Linked DNA regions of Rattus norvegicus. The protein of the gene in region 2 interacts with the protein of the main gene of each other region in a pairwise test. Links are inferred from orthologs where the notes say so. Each region holds a gene or a part of one and is shown on either strand. Other genes may lie near its edges.

Region 1 (5,590 bases), on a different chromosome or scaffold from region 2:
CCACAACTGCCTGTCCTCTGTGAGTCAAGAGAGCTGTATAGAGTGGAGCAGGACTGCCACTGGTGGTCTTGGGGACTCAGGGCCAGCCACCAGGACACCAGACTTGCCTAGAGTGGTCTTGCTTGTGGGGTAGGGAGAGCTTAGGTCAAGGTGAACTGAAGCTGGTCAGGTTCTAAATAGATGAGCTGGTATTCACCCTCTATACACAATCCCCTTCTTAAAGGCCAGCAGTCTGCAATTCCCCCAACCTGAGCTGGTCTATTTCTATGCTGGTTTTAGCATTTACCTGCCGTCCACCATGGCAAAGATCCCCAGTCCATCCTGTCGACTGCCTGAGTAGGTGCTCAGCATGGGTCTCGCTGCAGTAGAAGACTCCTTACTTGGGTCTTCTACATCCACCTCACTGGCCAACACAGCCTAGCTTCTGCTCGCCAACAAGGGTGAGCCAAAAGCCTGCCGCAGAAGTGGGGCTGCTGCTGTATCATCCTACCCACACCCGGGCCCCACCTTGTTCCCTGCCCCCAGCACACTCCTCCTAGATCAGGTCCTCCACCCAGCCTGCCAGCCCTTCGTTGGACCTCTGTCTTAGAAGGCAAGTTTCACAAAAGCTGAGCTGTTCATCTTGTGTTCAGTTGGCATCCCTGATAGTTTGTAGTGCATGCTGAGCAATCACCAGTGATAGGAAAACTGAAGGCCATTCTCTGCCAACTAATGGGCACCCAGAACAGCTCCAGTCTGAGCTGGCTAAACAGTACTTCCAGTCTTTTGTCAATACCTGGCAAGGGCTGTAAGTCACCATGGTGAGGGTGGCTAGATCTTAGCTGACTCTTTGGGTCTTTTACCTCAGGGTGCACCTAACAGATCAGGTGTGGTGACACACGGTCTATAACCCCAGCACTTGGAAGGTTCAAGGTCATCCCTGGCCACATATCAAGTTCAAGGTCAACCTGGGCTATGGGAAACCCTGTTTAGAGCATTGCCAGGGTGGACATGTGACATTACATAGAAGTGGAACAGCTGTAGTTCTCACGCACAAAGAACATCTGCCAAGTGAAGGTTAGTCATTGTCTCCAAGGGCCTCCACCAGTTTCTGCCCCGCTGTCACTCAGGCCCTTCCTCCCCCCACCATATCCTTGTGCTGGATTAAGCTGCCCCTGGGCCAAATGGAATAATGTTGAGGGTGATGGTAGGCTTTTTACCTCGCCTTGGGAGGATCTGTAGTAACAAACTGAAGGGTTGGAGTGGGGCTTGCCACCTGTCACAGGAAATAGTAGCTGTATCCCTTAAGCCTAAGAGAAACCTAATCCTCTTTGTGTTCAAGGACTGTACCTTATCTAGGTACTTACACAGCAGGTATCTGGCACAAGGCCAGTATGAACAGGTGCAATTCTGGGCTGGCCCTCACTAACCCAGAGCCCCCTCCCTCCAGCTAGTCTTTACCTGTCTCACTACCTGAACAGCTCAACTCATCCAGGTAGCTATCGTATTCAACCCAGACCTTGTGCAGTCTATTAGAAAGAATGACACAGAAAACTTCCATGGCTACTTTCACTACAAAATAATTTATTACAGCAAACACAGCATCACAAGACTATGTACAAGCACAAAGCACCTGACTACCCTATTAAGGAACTCTCTTCTTCCCCCTTGCCTTACGGACCTCTTCTATCAGGTCTTTTAGATACTGAATCTCTTTGGCGAGAGAATCTGCCTTCTCTTTCAGAGCCTCGTTCTTCTTTTCTAGCTCTTTACACTCGCCAGTGAGGGCTTCCTGCTCAGCCCTCTTCTTCTGGCGGTACCTAGTAGCTGCTGTCTTGTTTTGCTCCATCTTTTTCAGCTTCTTATCCAACTTTTCAGTCTTCACTTTAGCTGTCACACTAACTCCAGGTGGGTCATAAGGTTTGGGTCGAGAACCACGAGGAACACCTGGAGAAGGCAGACTGTCTGGTGGGGCCCTGGAGGTGGAAGGGCTGTGTTGGGGAGAGCCCAGGTAGGACTCAGGGCTCATACAGATGCCACTGTCACTATCAGAGGGAGTGTCTTCCTCCTTTACACACTGAGGGGTTAGAGTAATATAAGCAGCAGAGTCAGGCTTCCTATCTCCTTCAGAGATATCAACCTCACTTCCCAGCTCTAAACTAAAGGAATGATCTGGAGTGGAAGACAGAAACCCTGGGGAACAGGGAAGAGGCTGCAAGAATGTAAAGGGGGCAGCCTGGTCGACTTTTATTACACTTTCTGGGAGATGGCCAATTGGGTTCACTGTCTGAGGGGGCTCCTTATTAGTCTCTTGGACTAGAGGGGCAAAAAGATCACATGTGTCATCCAACGTGGCCAAAAGCTCATCTGGCATGGTTTCCAGGTCATCCATTCGAAACAGAGCATCGAAGTCAAACTCTTTCAGGTCCATTTTCTCCAACATCCAATCTGTCCCGGAAAAGGCATCCTCTGGGGAAAAAAATTTCAGGAGAGAACGGTTCATACTAGAGGCAGAAAACCTTTAGAACACCAAACCCACATGAAAAGAGCACACTGGTGCAGGTGTCCTCCCTACTCACCCTTGCCGGTGTCTGAGGCACTGACCAACCCATCCATAGCCAGCCATTCTGAGGAGCCCGCCTTGTCGCTGGAGAACCCATGAGGTTTGAAGTGCTTGGCCACCTCCAGATAGTCATCTAAGAGACCTAGGCTTTCTTCAGCCCCCAAACCCGACTGGTCGAAGGGGGACATTAAGTCCCCCGCCAACACTTCGCTGTTCAGGAAGCTCATCTCGGTCATGTTGTAGGGATTTGCTGGTATCGAGGAATGTGCTTAACTCGAAGGTATCTTTGTCCGTTACAGCAACGCTGCTGCTGGGTTTCGTGAAGAGCCTGCATAAGGATCCAAAAGCAAGTTCAATCATCTTTCTATCTAGGATGCTGGATGACAAAATCCCAAAAGCTTCTAAATGGAGAGCACGTGGGCTCAAGGCCATTGTGTAAGCTTCCCCAGCCGCCAGCTCGGGTTGCACAAGATGGAGGCTTAGCTTTGCTTCACCGGCCACCCGGAGGAAGCAGCTTGTCCTCAAGTCCTAATACGGCCAAGGCCGTCGCGCCCCGCCCCCGTGACTCACACCCCCCCCCCGCCCCACCGCCATCTTGGCCTCGCCACGTTCGCAGAATGACACCGGGAACCCGGGGGGGCGCGAGACGACTAAGTTAAGAGAGGACGAAGAGGAAGTAGCAGGGTTTTAGGCACTACTCCCTCCACGCCGCCTGCCCAACCCTCCCCGTGTGCGCCGGCGTTGCGGGGCCACCCAAACAAGGCCGACGCGTCTGGCCGCTTGTAAAGCCGCGTATGCTGGTCAACGCGCCCAGGCCGCACCCAAACACAGCAAAGCACACGCCCGCGCAGTCGGCCCAATACTCACGCCATGGCTTAAGCCGGTGGGGGTTGCCGCTGCAGAGCCTGGTGCTGCTGCCGCCGCTGCAAAGGCCAACGCTGCCGCAGGCTCTGCTGCCTCTAATACGCCATGGTGGCCGCAAGCCCTGCGGGAGGGGAAGAGGAAAGGAACAGCGTACAGAGAGACATCTACCACAGAGCAAGCAGAAATGGCGGCGACACGCCCTAAACCCGCCTTTTATAGAATCGGTGAGGGACGCAGTACACCCCGTATCCTCCCACCGTGGTCACGTGATCCCGCCGCCGCTCCACCTAACCCTATCCCATTGACGCTCTGGCCCGTCCAAACCCTTCTCCGCTGTGCTCGGGGAGTAACTGGGGCGTTACAGAGTATCCTGAAGGCCCCATGAAGGAAGAAAAGTGCACTACTTTATAGGTTTGCGACCAACTGAAGTCACGTTCCGGAGTGCGGAGGGATCGCTCGTTACGGAACTTCCGGTGTCTTACAGGGCGTGGAGAGACACCTAACCAAAGCTATGACGGTCAAAGCCAAAGCTGCCTGGTTATCACGCGAGACGCCGTAGGAGCGCGCGTCGAGCTGATTGGCCCAGGCGTGACGAGTCATCTAAACCTTAAGTTTCTATTGGCTCTGAACCTGGGCGCCCTAGGAGCACTAATATCGGGAAGAGCCACCAGAGGTTCCGGGTACCAGACTCTTACAGCTACCGACTCATCAGAGGTCACCCCAATGTAGTTGCTCTCTCCGGCATCGCTCCCGGGCAGCTTTGGTCCAGCACGGAGCAAACAGCTTTCCAGGAGTGACACTTGGGCTGAAAGCCCTCTTTCCCTGTATTTGTTGTTCTCAGAACCAAATGGGCAGAGCTTTAGGCATATAGAAAGGTCCTCTGGAGTTACCTGGTCCAATCCTGTCAGTCCAGGGACCGCACTTTGAGACAGGGCGTTCATGTTGGGGCCTTATTGGGAGATACTCCGGTTCCTCCAGCCCTGCATCTTTCCTCTGAATCCTGTACTGGGAAAATATACCTAACCTTAGATCTAACCTACTCTAAAATATGCCCATCACTGCTGGTTTGTATAGGGTCAGTTCCCTTAATATTGTGTTTTATTCAGTTGGATCTCAAGCCCTAGAGTAGTTCTGATTAACTCCCAAGTCTTAACTTCCTGGTATAGCCTTACCAAGAAGTCATCCTGGTGAGTGAGCAGCTGCTTAAGTGGTTGGAAGCCCCAAGTACTGGTCAAGGACAACTCACCATAAAGGATGCTGTTTTGGAAGTGCTGAGAGGCCCTCTTCCCAACTCCAGCCTGCAATCTTTTGAGTTTCCACGTCTTTTTAAGTGACTCATACAAATACCACTCAATTGGCACAGTGCCCGCCCCTTACTGCTCAGTAATTATTTGCAAGCCAAGTACTCCAGTACACACAATCCTAGCACTCGGGCACCATGGTTCAAGGTCATCCTTGATTACATGGTTATTGATTGCTATTTATTAATTCAAACCTAATTCCCAAGTCCCTCTCTCCCTAACTCCATGATTCATCTTCCTTCCTCAGAGGACCTTTCATTATTATTTACTGAGACTAAAGCAACTAAATAAATAACGCACAAGGCCTACATAATGAGATGTTTCTATCGACAAAGAAGTCATGAGTACATGTGCACACAAACAGAAGTTTCCTAGTCTCTCCATGCAAAGGATAACTATGTCCTCCCTTTGCTCTGGAAACAGAAACAGGAGCCACAGTTATATTGTTAAGTAGACATCCCTTACATGTTTCTGTCCCCTAAGTGTAATGTATCCTACAAATGTTTTTTAACTTATGCTGAATTTGTAACCCCGTGATGTATTTGCTAAACTCCTGAACCTGTGATACATGACTGCCTCTTGCTATACAAAACTGTGTCTCCCCAGAAACCTTCCACATGGCACAAGCTTGCACTTCTTTTTATGGCCGCCTTTCTAACAGCTAATTATCCTGACAGCTGTTTCCTATCACATGCTTCTACCCCACAGGCAGTCTTGAGTCCCCCACTCTTCTGTTCAGGTGCTAACAGCCAATTATCCCAACAGCTGTTTTCTATCAACCCTAATGTTTTCCCATAAAAGGGACCTCCAACACCAGTGAGGGGCTGCTTGGCTGGCCAGTCTAAATAAAGTTTGCTTAACCAAACAGTCAAGGAAATGTTTT
Region 2 (5,747 bases):
CAACCCTCCCCCAACCTCCTTCTAAGACTGCCCCTGGTCCCTGACTGTGAGAGACTTTGGGTCTAGTATTTAAGTGCTTGAATCTGGTTTTTTTTTGGGGGGGGGGCTCAGAAAAATAAGTAAAATCAGTTCAGTGCTGAGTAGAGAGAGAGAGCACCAGGCAGCGCAAACTGCTCGATACACGGTATTTATTATTGTTAGAGTTCCCAACTCTACACTCTACAGTGAAGGCTTCAGGCAAAGGGACATTTGGTTCTATAAATTACACGTTCTCTGGAAAACAGCCATTGCAAGCTCTAGGCAGCCAAAGAAAAAGGGAGCAAATTATAAGCAGTATTTATCTTGGATATGGTCTAGATCTCCAGAAGGGAGCAGTAACAGATAACCATTGCTGGTTGGAAAGCAATGACCACACTTGAGGGTAGGGGGCGCCATGATACTCCTCAGGACCACAGGGACCTGCATTCCCCAGAGGGACTCCAAACACCATTTTGCTACAAAGGCAAAGCAGACAATTTCTAACACACACACATGCACGCACATGACAGGGACATGACTACTAAGAGTTCTCCCATGGTTTAGGTCTAGTAAATATTTTTGTTTATTCTCAACACCTTTGTAGTCCTGCTCATATTATCCAATGACCCTTACAAGTCCAGTTTAAAGAAAAAAAAAATGTAATGAGGGTGTACGAATCCATAAGTGCAATGCATAGAAATTTAAAGTTTATTTAAAAAAAAAACAGTTTAAACTAAATGTACAAACTGGCAGTTGCTAAAATAGCCTGGGGGGAGTTCATGCTAGCCTGTCTACATGTGTGTATGTTTGAAATTCCCTCAATCAAAAGTTATAAATAAGTTTAAAATCAGTACAAGTTCTCTCTGGTTCTTTCCCCTGGAGCCATAAGCAGGAAATTAAGTCTATCTATATCAGTACTGTGGGAAGCAGTACAGAATAAAGGACACCGAGGGAGGAAAGGCATGTAAGAAAGAAAACAGGCCAAGCGAAAGGAAGCAAGGGTAGCCCCTATAGACAGGATGTGCCTTGACAATGACTGTATCACCAGTAAACTCCAAGTAAGGGACCCGAGGCCATGGGCGTCCTTACAGAAGTGAATCAAAGTTTTACATTAAAAAAAAAAAAACTATAATAGTTGTTTGTTGAAACTTGGTTTTTTGTTGTTGTTGTTTTAGTTTTGGTCCTAATTAGCCAGGAAATAGACCAATCTAGAAGTGGACTTTGTGAAGGGTGTGAAGGAGAGCTTTGTGCCAGGAACAGTCAAGACAGCCAGAGCCTGGATAAGACAAGATGCCTCTTCGGTGGGTAGGACAGATTCTCACAGCTAGCTAAAAAGTTACTTGGTTCACCCTGGGATCTACGGAGCTTGCTCTCCTCACCCTGGATGACTAAGTACTTTTCCCATTCCCTTTGAATTAAATTCTAGCTCAGGGTCCTCCTGTCATCCACTAAGTCAAAGCTAAATAATAAACTACGTTAGGGACCCGACTTACCATCAATTCTAATCTCCCTCAGAGAGGAAACATTATTCCTAAACCTCTCGGGGGAAATTCTTTAACAGCTAAGCTTGGAAGAAACTTTACCAAACTGATAGTGTCATTTGGCCTTTCAGGTCAAAGCCACGAAAGTGCTTACCAGTACAGAGGTGAAGCCCAGGGTTATCAGCGAGCTTATTTAGTGCAGAAACACTCCTGATGAAAACACAGATGATCCAGTCTACCACCAAACTGATAGAAGGGAAAAAAAACACCCTACTATCACTCTCTAACAGAATTCAGGTAACTCTGCACTACCTCCAAATCAAACTAACACTTAGAGATCAACACTTTCTCTCAGAGTTTCTTCGGATCTATTCATGAGGACGCGCGACGGAGTCCCTTCACATCCTCCGAGTCTGAAAGTGGCCTGCAGCTCCCTACTCTACGTGGGTCAATGCTCCTCAGCTGCCATGTTCTACCTTGCTGGGCACCAGAAGAAGTTTTCATGATTCTGAGAGTCCCTTGACCAGCAACAACAGATGGGCAAAGTTCTCTGAATTGCTCCTGGAGAGAGGGTTTGACTATCCTTATTGGAAGACATGGTCAGGAGAGAGACTAACCCAAAGAAACGTTACATGCACCGTCTCAACTCCTCCACCTCCTACTGGCCTACCTGCCAATCTACCTGTAAATGTTTTCAAGATAAATCATCACCATCCACTGCCGCATTACTGGCTACGTGAGCAAAAGCAAGCTTTCTACCCAGAGGTACTTCTCCACTCTCTTCATGAACCTTATCAGATTGTCTGAGTGGACTTTGCCATGAGTTTATAGGAAAAGGCGATGCGTGGGGCTCGGCACAGGAGAGAATTTTCACTAGGGCAGAGGAGTCTAAGAATTCTGGGCCCCGGGGCTCAAAGGCTGCGCGCAAAAGTGGAGTCTTACTTAACCTTTTCGCATTAAACTCTTCCCTTCCACCCTACCTAACTCTACAAGCCAACTGACACAAGGCAAAAATTACACTTGCCTCTAGTAGAGTTAAGAGTGCCTCTGTGAGCTACTGTGGAGGGCAGTACCGGAGGGCTTTAAAGCAGGCACTTCAGATCATGGACACGCGTGTCGCAGTGTTTGGAATATCTTTTCCCTCCACCAGCCAGTAGTCCTTGAGGTCATCACCAAAACCAGAGCAATTCTTTCAGAGTCAGCAGAAGCTCATCATCACGAGACACCTGAGCCCCTTAACGTGGACTTTTGCTTAAGGAGTTAGGCCGGGAGGTGGAGGGGACGCAAGTAAGGCAGATAAGGCAAGCTGACTTCTTGGTTAAAAATCAAAGTTCGATGCAGCCCAGCCAAGGTGACACAACACTCCGAACGAAGGCTTCCCGTCCCCTGCGGCGCAGCTGCGGCTGGGCACACGCACGCATCCTACCTTGGACCGCTCCTTGACATAGTATTTGCCCAGGCGGCTCCCGCAGTACAGGACCAGCCTGTCGATGAGGGACAGGAGGAAGTTGATGGCCTCGCAGCCCTCCTCGTTGCCCCCGATCCACGTGATCTGGTCGCCTCGCAGGTGCCGCTTGGAGACGCCGGCGCGGGGCCCCGCCAGCTGGCCGTCACGCAGGGCCCCGTTGTAATGCAGCTGCTTGACTCGCTCCAGTACGCAGTCGCCCACCACCTCGCCTAGGAAGTTGTCCAGGTAGCAGAAGCCGACCTCGTGCAGACAGGGCACGATGTACTCCAGGGCGATCTTCTCCAGATCCAGCCTCATGATGTGTCCCAGAGGCATCTCGCTCACAGAGCCGAGGCGGGGGACCCCCAGGGTGCACGCACCGAGGGCTTGCCCAGAGCGAACGCACAGCGGAGATGCAGAGAGCCGGGCCGGGGGCTCTACCACCTGCGGCAGCCACGGTCCCCGAGCCACTTTAGCTGCAAAGGCGGGGAAAGTTGCTTGAAACTCTGAAGAGAAGGGAGTCCCGCTCTGAGACCGGCAGGAGTAGTGTAGAGTTCTGCCACCCAGCGCCGGACTGGCCCAGTGAGAAGTCGGAGGGCCCCTTTTGGAGATGCGGAGCCACCGCCGCGGCGGCCGCAGCCCGGGGAGGAACGAGAGGAAGCCCCGCCTTGACCTCAACGTCATGGTCCCGCCCCCGGGACTGCCCTCCTCCTGGCCCTTCCCCTTGAGCTGGTGCTGCAGAGCATCTGGGCGAGCTCCACATTAGCTAACCTGTGTGTGACCGGAGAAAGGACTGGATTTTTTTTTCAATGCTCTCTGTTTGCATATTGATTTGCATTAAATCCCCTAACAAACTTGAAAACCTGGATCTCAAGTCTGAGATTCACATGAACAGTTTTTTGCCACTTTCTGGGCTAGTCACCTCTCTGGTGACTTTATTTCTTAAACATTGAGGTCTAAGACCTATCTGATGTCTTTCCTTCCTCTCCTTTCCTCTTCTGTTTTAACCAAAACTGACTGATCCATTAACAAACAATCCCCTTGACCTTCTCCCACCCGGTGTGCCAGGCTGGTGTGTATCTCTGAGGAGGGGGTGGAGGACAGGGAGATAGGGAGGCACTCCGGGAAGGGACAGTGTTGCCAAATTCTGCAGACTTTTGTATTTCGCCCTGTGGGAGATGTTCATACTCAAGTTTTTTACTAAAAGGTTCTGAAATTCTCCCTCAAAATCAATCGTGTGCTCCCCAAAAGAAACACTGTTCCAGGTCTCTCTGGCTTTTACCACAGCAACTGGACTTGTAAGGGAGCACTAGACTCTATGTAAAAGGCTTAAATATCTACCTGTAAGCTGGTGTCTACACAGATTTCTTATGCCCTTTCCTTCCAAGTGAGAGAGAGGGAGAGAGAGAGAGAGAGAGAGAGAGAGAGAGAGAGAGAGAGAGAAAGAGAAGAAGAGGAGGAGGAGGGAGGGAGTCAGTTCACATCTTTACACATTTGGATTTTCATTTAAGTCAAAAGAAAAACTAAACGGGTCTTTCGAGCATCATTTATTATGGACAGCCTTTTTTGGTTTTATTCTCTTCCCCAAAACAATGGCCCCTCTGCTGACAGACTGGGAAGAAGCCTCTATTGTAGTTGGTGAGGACAAACAGGTCCTTGGGGAGTGGCAGTCAACCATGGAGGGTGTAAGAAGCTTTGAAGAAACCTAGCTAGCTCTATGGAGAACAGGGGCCCTGTCTGTGCTCAGCTGGCCTCTTCCAGGAGGAGGTGTCTTTCCTTCGGGTAAAGGCTCAAATTGCCCTAACTTCAAGAAACTGTCCAAAAGCCCACAGCAGCACTAGGATGATAGAAACCAGTGTCCTTGGAACATTGATGCCAGCACATGATAGATGGTTGGAAAATAGTTTCCTGAGACACTGATATCTGAACCTAGGCCCCGCAAACACCGTCTGGGATTTTAGACAGGAAGCCAGCAGGACAGGACCCTTTGCAAGAGGTACTGAGGAGCCTCCCAGGGTATCTATTCACTGGGACAGTATCGAGCAGAGGTCTAAGACCTCAACGGCCACTGGAGGGGGACAGTGAGAACTTCTGCAGGACAGCTCTCTTAGTCCCATGTCAGTAGTGGCAAACAAAGCCAAGGCTGGAGAGTAATTTATCTTCATTGGGAAGAGAATGGAAATGAGTTCCAAAGAATGAAAGGCCGTTTCCCTACTGTTATCTGAACCCCCATGTCTCTGGGAGCCACTCTGACCCTCTTGAAATCTATCTGCAGGGACACCTTGGGATAGGCAGCTGTGGAAATATTAACTTAATATTTAAATAATATTTCCATAATTTTAGAGCACAGTGGCTTCTAGTGTAGTCACAGCTAGAACTACTGTTCTTTCAAGCCTGATGCTGTTCTTGATGACTTTAGATCCAAAACTTGTGCCGATTAGGAAGGGAGTCTATCCTGTAGCACCATCCCTACCTGAAGGGCATTTACTAATCAACCACAGACCTGCCACTCAACTCAGGGTTGCCAGCACTGAGTGTGGTAGGGAAGTCAGACATACTGTGGCTGGTAGAAACCAAAGTTCATGATTATATAGAGGGCACAGACAGGCTCTGAGGCTGAGCACCAGAAGGGAAAAATCCAAGTTTTGTCTACTTATTTCAGATATTTGTCCATTAACCCGAGTCACTTTAGGATGAATATTAGTCAGCTTTTCATTGATCTCACATTGTACCTGAAACAGTCATTGTGGTGGTTTGACTAGCAATCAGGAGGTATGGCCTTGGCAGAGTGTGTTGTGGGA
Region 3 (5,957 bases), on a different chromosome or scaffold from region 2:
AGCCAAAGCTTCACCCCAGGATCAAAAGTTTAAAGTCATCTTTTGCTACATAGAGAGTTTGAGGCTAGACTGGGCTAGAAGACCTATTTTATAACAATGACCCCCTTCCCTAACTCATTACCTAGTGTAGGCTGGCCTTGAACTCCTCATCTTCCTGGTTCCTCTTCCCCAGTGTTGGGACTATAAATACTTGTCCTTATATAGGGTTTGTGCTTTTGTGGTACTAGGGTTGGAGCCCAGGGCCTCATGCTTGCCAGGCAAGCACTCTACCAACTGAGCTATAACCCTAGCCCCATCTTTTTCATGATGTAGTCTAGTTGGTCTTGAACTCAAGATCCTCCTCTGTAATCACAAGTGGGTGCCACCAGGCTGGAGAAAATGAATCTTTTTCTTTTCTTTTCTTTTTTTTTTTTTTCTTTTTTCTGTTTTTCGGAGCTGGGGACCGAACCCAGGGCCTTGCGCTTGCTAGGCAAGCGCTCTACCGCTGAGCTAAATCCCCAACCTTTTTTTTTTTTTTAAAGGGCATCAGATCCCCATTACAGATGGTTGTGAACCACTATGTGGTTTCTGGGAATTGAACTCAGGACCTCTGGCAGAGCAGTCAGTGCTCTTAACCACTGAGCCATCTCTCCAGCCCATGAATCTTTTCACATGGACACTGGAAGTGTGGGGAGAGAAGCGGCTTTGTTGGGGTGTTCACTGACTGGCAACTTGAGAATAACATGTTTTCCCAGTTCAAGCCAATGATATATAAGAGGTTTAGAACCTGGTTCTAAGGCCCTTTGGGTTCAACACCTGATACAAAGTAACAGTACTAATTACATAATGGTGTGACTTACATGAACTCAGACACAAACAATATCTTCGAGCTGTACATACACTCTAAAAGGCATGACAGTGCTGCATGGAATGGCCAGAAGAATCAGATGTGAGAACATATGAAGAGTGTGAAGACTTTATGCCTGCACGTTGTATGTGTAATGTAGTTATATGTACACAGAACTTACGTAAATGGCAGTAGCATATATTTAGCCAGAAGACAAATGACATTGCTATCTAAAGGGAGACGTCAAACTGCAATCTTTTTGAGTAATTCAAATATCAAGCGAACAATTTCTTTTGCCTCACCATTTTATAATAGAACACAATTGGAGAAAAGTAAGCCGGAGGGTGATATACCTAAGGGTTTGTTCCGGAATAGCGTGACTGGAGAGGTTAAGAAGAGATGGGCTACTCTGGTTGTATTTCCTGTCCCGGGATGGAGATTATTCTGTAAGAAGTAGAGGGATGTGCTGAGAGACCGTTCTATCTCCCTGTGGCACTCAGGATAACATATTCTACAGAAATATCACTTGACTTTGGCACAAAGGTAAAAAAATGACATTTTATAGGCATGCCGAGGGAAATGAATAATTATGCTATGCACCCTTCGTACACTGTACCGTTTTAAAAAGTCATCTCGCAAATCATTTCCTTTGGTGACTGCGACATCCATATTAGTAGGCAGGCCAGAGTATCATAGTCCCTTCTTCAGAGACTATGCTTCCAGAAACTAGGGCCTTGCACATTTGCAGAGCCGAAACTAACGCAACACCCCATTTCCCGATGCTCATTTCCCTATGACAGACTCATCTATCTTTTTATATATCTACGATCCAATCTTTCACTGACCCTCCAGGACAAGAGTAAACTTTAACTTCACTCCCGGCTCCATAACCCTTTATAAGCTGTCTGGAAGAGAAAGAGGAACCATCAAATGCGTTTCGAAGAAAACTGGGAATACTTGTCTTAGGCGTGGACCACAGCACAATGAGAGGTGTGCGTGGCAGTTAGCGTGGACGCTGGCCCCGCCAGTGCCCGGGACCGAGGGCGGGCGACCCGCGGGCTGCGGGGCTCTGCGCTCCTCCTTAACCCGCGCCGGGAGGCGGCGGCCGCGGCGGCGGGAGGGGGAGGGGCGCGGAGCGCGGCGCCGAGGCCGGGGAGGAGCCGGGGCCTGCAGCGGAGCCGAGCCGAGCCCGAGCCGAGCCCCGACGCGCTCCGTCCGCCTGCCGGCTCCTGGGAGCCCCGACCGGCTGGAGCCTCAGAGGCGGCAGCGCGGGGAGTTCCACGCGCCGGGAAGCGCGGCGGACAGGGGACGCGACCAGGGAGGCGCTGCCGCCCGGCAGCTGGTAACCGGAGCCGGGACCGCGGCCTCCGGGACCCTGCTGCCCAGGCCGGCCGGCCGGGCGGGAACGGGAGTGCGAGGACCCCACCCTTGGGGCACCCAGTGCCCGGACCTGCCCCTCTCCCTTGGGAGGGGGGACCCTCCCCACTCCCGGGACAGCCAGAAGAGACCGCCGCAGGGCACGCGGCTGTCCCTCCCACGGTGGCTCTAGAGGAGACCCCTAGAAGTCGGACCTGAAGGACCTGGAGTGAGACCTCACGCCTCAACGCACGCCAGACAGTTCGGGACTTTTGAGGCAGAGAGAAAGGGAGCCATGCCTGTGGAGTAGGCACCCCGCGTCCCACCCGGGACTCACCGCGGAGAGGCGTCCTGACACGCACAGCCAGGACCCTCCAGGGAACCGCCAGGAATTGGTTCCAGTTTGCTGGAGAGTAGAAGACCTCGCCCCTCAACTTCCGTGCACCCAGACAGTGGACCGGGGCCGAGCCCCTCCGCTCAGATCACCAACTGACAGAAAGAGCCCTCAGCCCCTGAAAGATCCAGTTTGGGGGGGAGGGGGATTCCCCCAAAGGGGAGGAGACAACTCCTGGCTGGGAGAGGCTCCTCCCCTCCTCCCTAGGGTAGCAGGCAGGGTGTGGGGGGTGTGCCATCTTCCCCAGGTAGGTCCTCCCTCTCCCCCTCCTCCTCCTTCGATTCCTCGTCCTCAGGGGACTCAGTTCCCCGCTCCAGCCTGGGAGGCTCCGCCAGGCACTGGAAGAGTCACTGAGGATGTCACCTGTCACCTGCCACTAAAGAGGGGAGTCCCTGCAACCTCAAACTTCAGTACCAGGTGGTTTCCTCCAGCGGCCGGGGGAACCTTGGAGACAGGTTAGTGCTTTCTCTTCTGTAGTCTTTAGACACCAGTAGGTATGGGGAGCTGAAATGGTGGATCTTAGGGTTCATTGGAAGAGAAGGTAGAGTAAAAGCCCAGACCCCGGGGAAATGTCTTCTGATGGAGCCATTGCACTGGAGGCCACATGTTGCTTCAGAGACTCTGAGAAGTGGCCTTTTTAGATTTTGGAGTCCAAAGGGATGGGTCATTTGCAGTCCCTAGAGAAGCTGATGCTCTGAACTGAGAACAGACAACAGGTGCGTTTTCAGGACGCCGTGGTGTTAGTAACTGAGGACACAGCACAGCCAGAATCCCACAGCACTGTCCATTTTTGGGTCTTGCCCTCTGGTGAGTGGACCTGTAGTAAATGACCTGCAGTCGTGGCGGACATTTTATATATTGTATTGTATTTTCCAGGGCATGCCTAGGTCGGTTTAATATTCAACAGGAACCTTCTTTCCAGTCTATCACAATGACTGCTTGCCTGACTGACTGGCAACCGGTCCCTACCCACTCTATCTTGGATGCCAGGAGGGAGGCCCCTACTTCAGGCTGGATATCTGCCTCTCTGTGTAAAAGCCAAGGGGAAATGCGAATCCTCATGTCCCGGGATGAGAAGAGACTGTCAGGGTAATGACATTGGTGGGCTGGAGTCTTTCTAGATACCCAATCTGCCTTAGCACCTAATGCCATTTGCTGACAGTTCCTCAGGAAAAAAAGTCAGATGTCTGGAGGAAGAGAGGACAGTGCTTCACAGCTGCCCTCCACTTGTCCTTCTGTCTGCACCAACTGACCACCAGGAAGGTCTGACCTCTGAGGTGTTTAGAGTTTCCTTCAGGAAAACACCTACTGGCCCCATCCTCCCTTGTTTAGTTCTGGGTCTCAGGAAACTTGAGTTGAATTTTTTTCTCCCTATTATAGGAAATCCTCAAAATTCAGAATCCTTAGAAAAAGAAGGGGAAAACGTGCTAAGAAATCTTCTTGGGTGCTAAGAAATAAAGCCAGGGCTTTATTTGTAACAGAGCTCTGACCTTTCACCTGAGGTCACTCTGCACTTCCTGTCTGGTGGTTGGACCATGTCTCATCTTCTGTATGGGGCTTCCTCCCCTTGGGTTTTCAGTCTCTGCCTCCCTTTATGGGCCATGGGTGGATTACCTGGCTTGCCCAAGTCTCTGCCTGCCTACTTGATCTTGGAAGGTCTGTGTAGTGGCGATGCATGAAACAGGGATGTAGTCCACAGTTTCAATGGCTATGCTGTAGAGTGATGTGCACATTTCTCAGTGGGAGTGACTGTGGCTTGGTGTCTGTGTTTTGAGTATGTACATGGAGAAGGCTATCCTGGTGGTTTTTAGACCGTGCTTTTGATCCCTTAGAACCATTTCTGGCAGGCCTGTAGAAGCAGGAGACTCTCTGCCAAAACCTAGAAGAGGTGAGGGTGCAGATAACCAGTTGGGAGGAAAGCCGTCCCCCTCACCCACCAGTGGGAATTCCCATGACACCCCCACCCCACCCCCGCCCCAGCCCCAGCCAAGTCATCCCAAGCAGCTTGGCAGGCCTTTCTCAGGTTGGACCTGTTTTCTTCCAGGACTGGTAAGAAAGCTTCATCCTGAGATCCTTTACTTCCATGTCTAGAACGGCCTCTCCTACTTTTGAGAGATGTGTCAGCCATAGCAGCGGTCTGTTTCTTACAAAGCACTTTACCAGATGCTGGAGTACGACTTCTGAGTGGCAGGCACAGTGTGGGCTGTGGTGTCGCTACTCCAGGCAGACCACTCATTCAGCTGGCTCTGCTACAAGTTCCGTAACTCTCTTGCCTCTCAGTAGTCAGTGAGGGGCTGCTTGCTTTTTTCCCCAGCCTGTATCTTATGACTGCACCCAAATCCCCTGAAAGACAGGTGATGATATTTCCCCGCTTCCTACATCCTCTGAGGCTTCTTGATCTTAATCAGACCTGGGCTGATGAACTCAAGGGAAATGTTTGAAATTCTGATGTCCTGACAGCCACGGCAACAGACTTGGCAACACGCTCGCTGCACGTCTGATGCTCTGTGATCCGCTGTAATTTTTGACGTTCTCTTTTCTTGAAAGATTTATTTCTCATGTGTTTGATATGTATATGAATATTTTCTCTACACATATGTACACCAGAGGAAGGCATCAAACAGAACCCATGGAACTAAGGTTCCGGATGGATGTGAGCCACCGTGTGGGTGCTGGGAATTGAACTCAGGACCTCTGGAAGAGTAGTCAGTGTCCCTAACGGCTGAGCCATCTCTCCAGCCCTATTGTTCTCTTTTCGTTAAAACTCTTTGGTGTTTGGCATTGAACTATGGGCTGCATCTGCGTGTTAAACACACTGAGACATACACCCGGCCGACTGATACTCCTGTTCTTCCTTCAAAAGCAAAGTCTCACTTACTAAGTGCTTTAAACATACTAAGACATAGTACATAATCCTCACAACTCCTGTAGGAAAGTTAATCTTTATTTCAAAGAATCTTAAACTGGGCGGTGGTAGCACACATGTTTAATCCCAGCACTTGGAGGCAGAAGCAGGTGGATCTCTTTGTTCAGGGCTAGCCTGGTCTACATAGTGAGTTCCAGGACATCTTTGTAGCCAGGGAGATGTAGAGAAACCTTGTCTCCAAAAAGAAAAAAATATATTTTTTTTAACTTTTTAGGTTGTGTGTGTGTGTGTGTGTGTGTGTGTGTGTGTGCGCGCGCGCGCGTGCGCACTATAGCCATGATAGTGTCTCACTATATAGCCATGGCTAGCCTTAAGCTTACTATTGGGTAGCTCAGGCTCGCTCAAACTCATGGTCACCCTCCTTGCTTCAACCTCCCAGAGTGCCACCAGAACAAACTTTTTAGAACTTTTGTCTTCTCTTACGGAGATAGAAATTAGGATACAGGAGAAGTTAA

What was found.
Region 1: the proteins of Egln3 (region 2) and Atf4 interact in a two-hybrid assay, tested with the Homo sapiens proteins (2 studies listed by BioGRID). The link is inferred for Rattus norvegicus from reciprocal best matches to the Homo sapiens genes EGLN3 and ATF4.
Region 3: the proteins of Egln3 (region 2) and Foxj2 interact in binary tests that used the Homo sapiens proteins (3 or more experiments, as listed by UniProt). The two-hybrid records come from large-scale screens. The link is inferred for Rattus norvegicus from reciprocal best matches to the Homo sapiens genes EGLN3 and FOXJ2.

The regions. Positions count from the first base shown.
Region 1 is NC_086025.1:113,682,684-113,688,273, reverse strand, and holds Atf4 (cyclic AMP-dependent transcription factor ATF-4), read right to left. Parts: upstream 3,594-5,590; 5' UTR 3,410-3,593; intron 2,871-3,409; 5' UTR 2,779-2,870; coding exon 2,559-2,778; intron 2,484-2,558; coding exon of another isoform or gene 2,449-2,483; coding exon 1,625-2,448; 3' UTR 1,535-1,624; downstream 1-1,534. UniProt on the Homo sapiens protein: Transcription factor that binds the cAMP response element (CRE) (consensus: 5'-GTGACGT[AC][AG]-3') and displays two biological functions, as regulator of metabolic and redox processes under normal cellular conditions, and as master transcription factor during integrated stress response (ISR).
Region 2 is NC_086024.1:77,407,200-77,412,946, forward strand, and holds the start of Egln3 (prolyl hydroxylase EGLN3), read right to left. Parts: upstream 3,817-5,747; 5' UTR 3,631-3,816; coding exon 2,926-3,630; intron 1-2,925. UniProt on the Homo sapiens protein: Prolyl hydroxylase that mediates hydroxylation of proline residues in target proteins, such as PKM, TELO2, ATF4 and HIF1A. Target proteins are preferentially recognized via a LXXLAP motif.
Region 3 is NC_086022.1:157,716,997-157,722,953, forward strand, and holds the start of Foxj2 (forkhead box protein J2), read left to right. Parts: upstream 1-2,262; 5' UTR 2,263-3,031; intron 3,032-3,452; exon of another isoform or gene 3,453-3,559; coding exon of another isoform or gene 3,560-3,665; intron 3,666-5,957.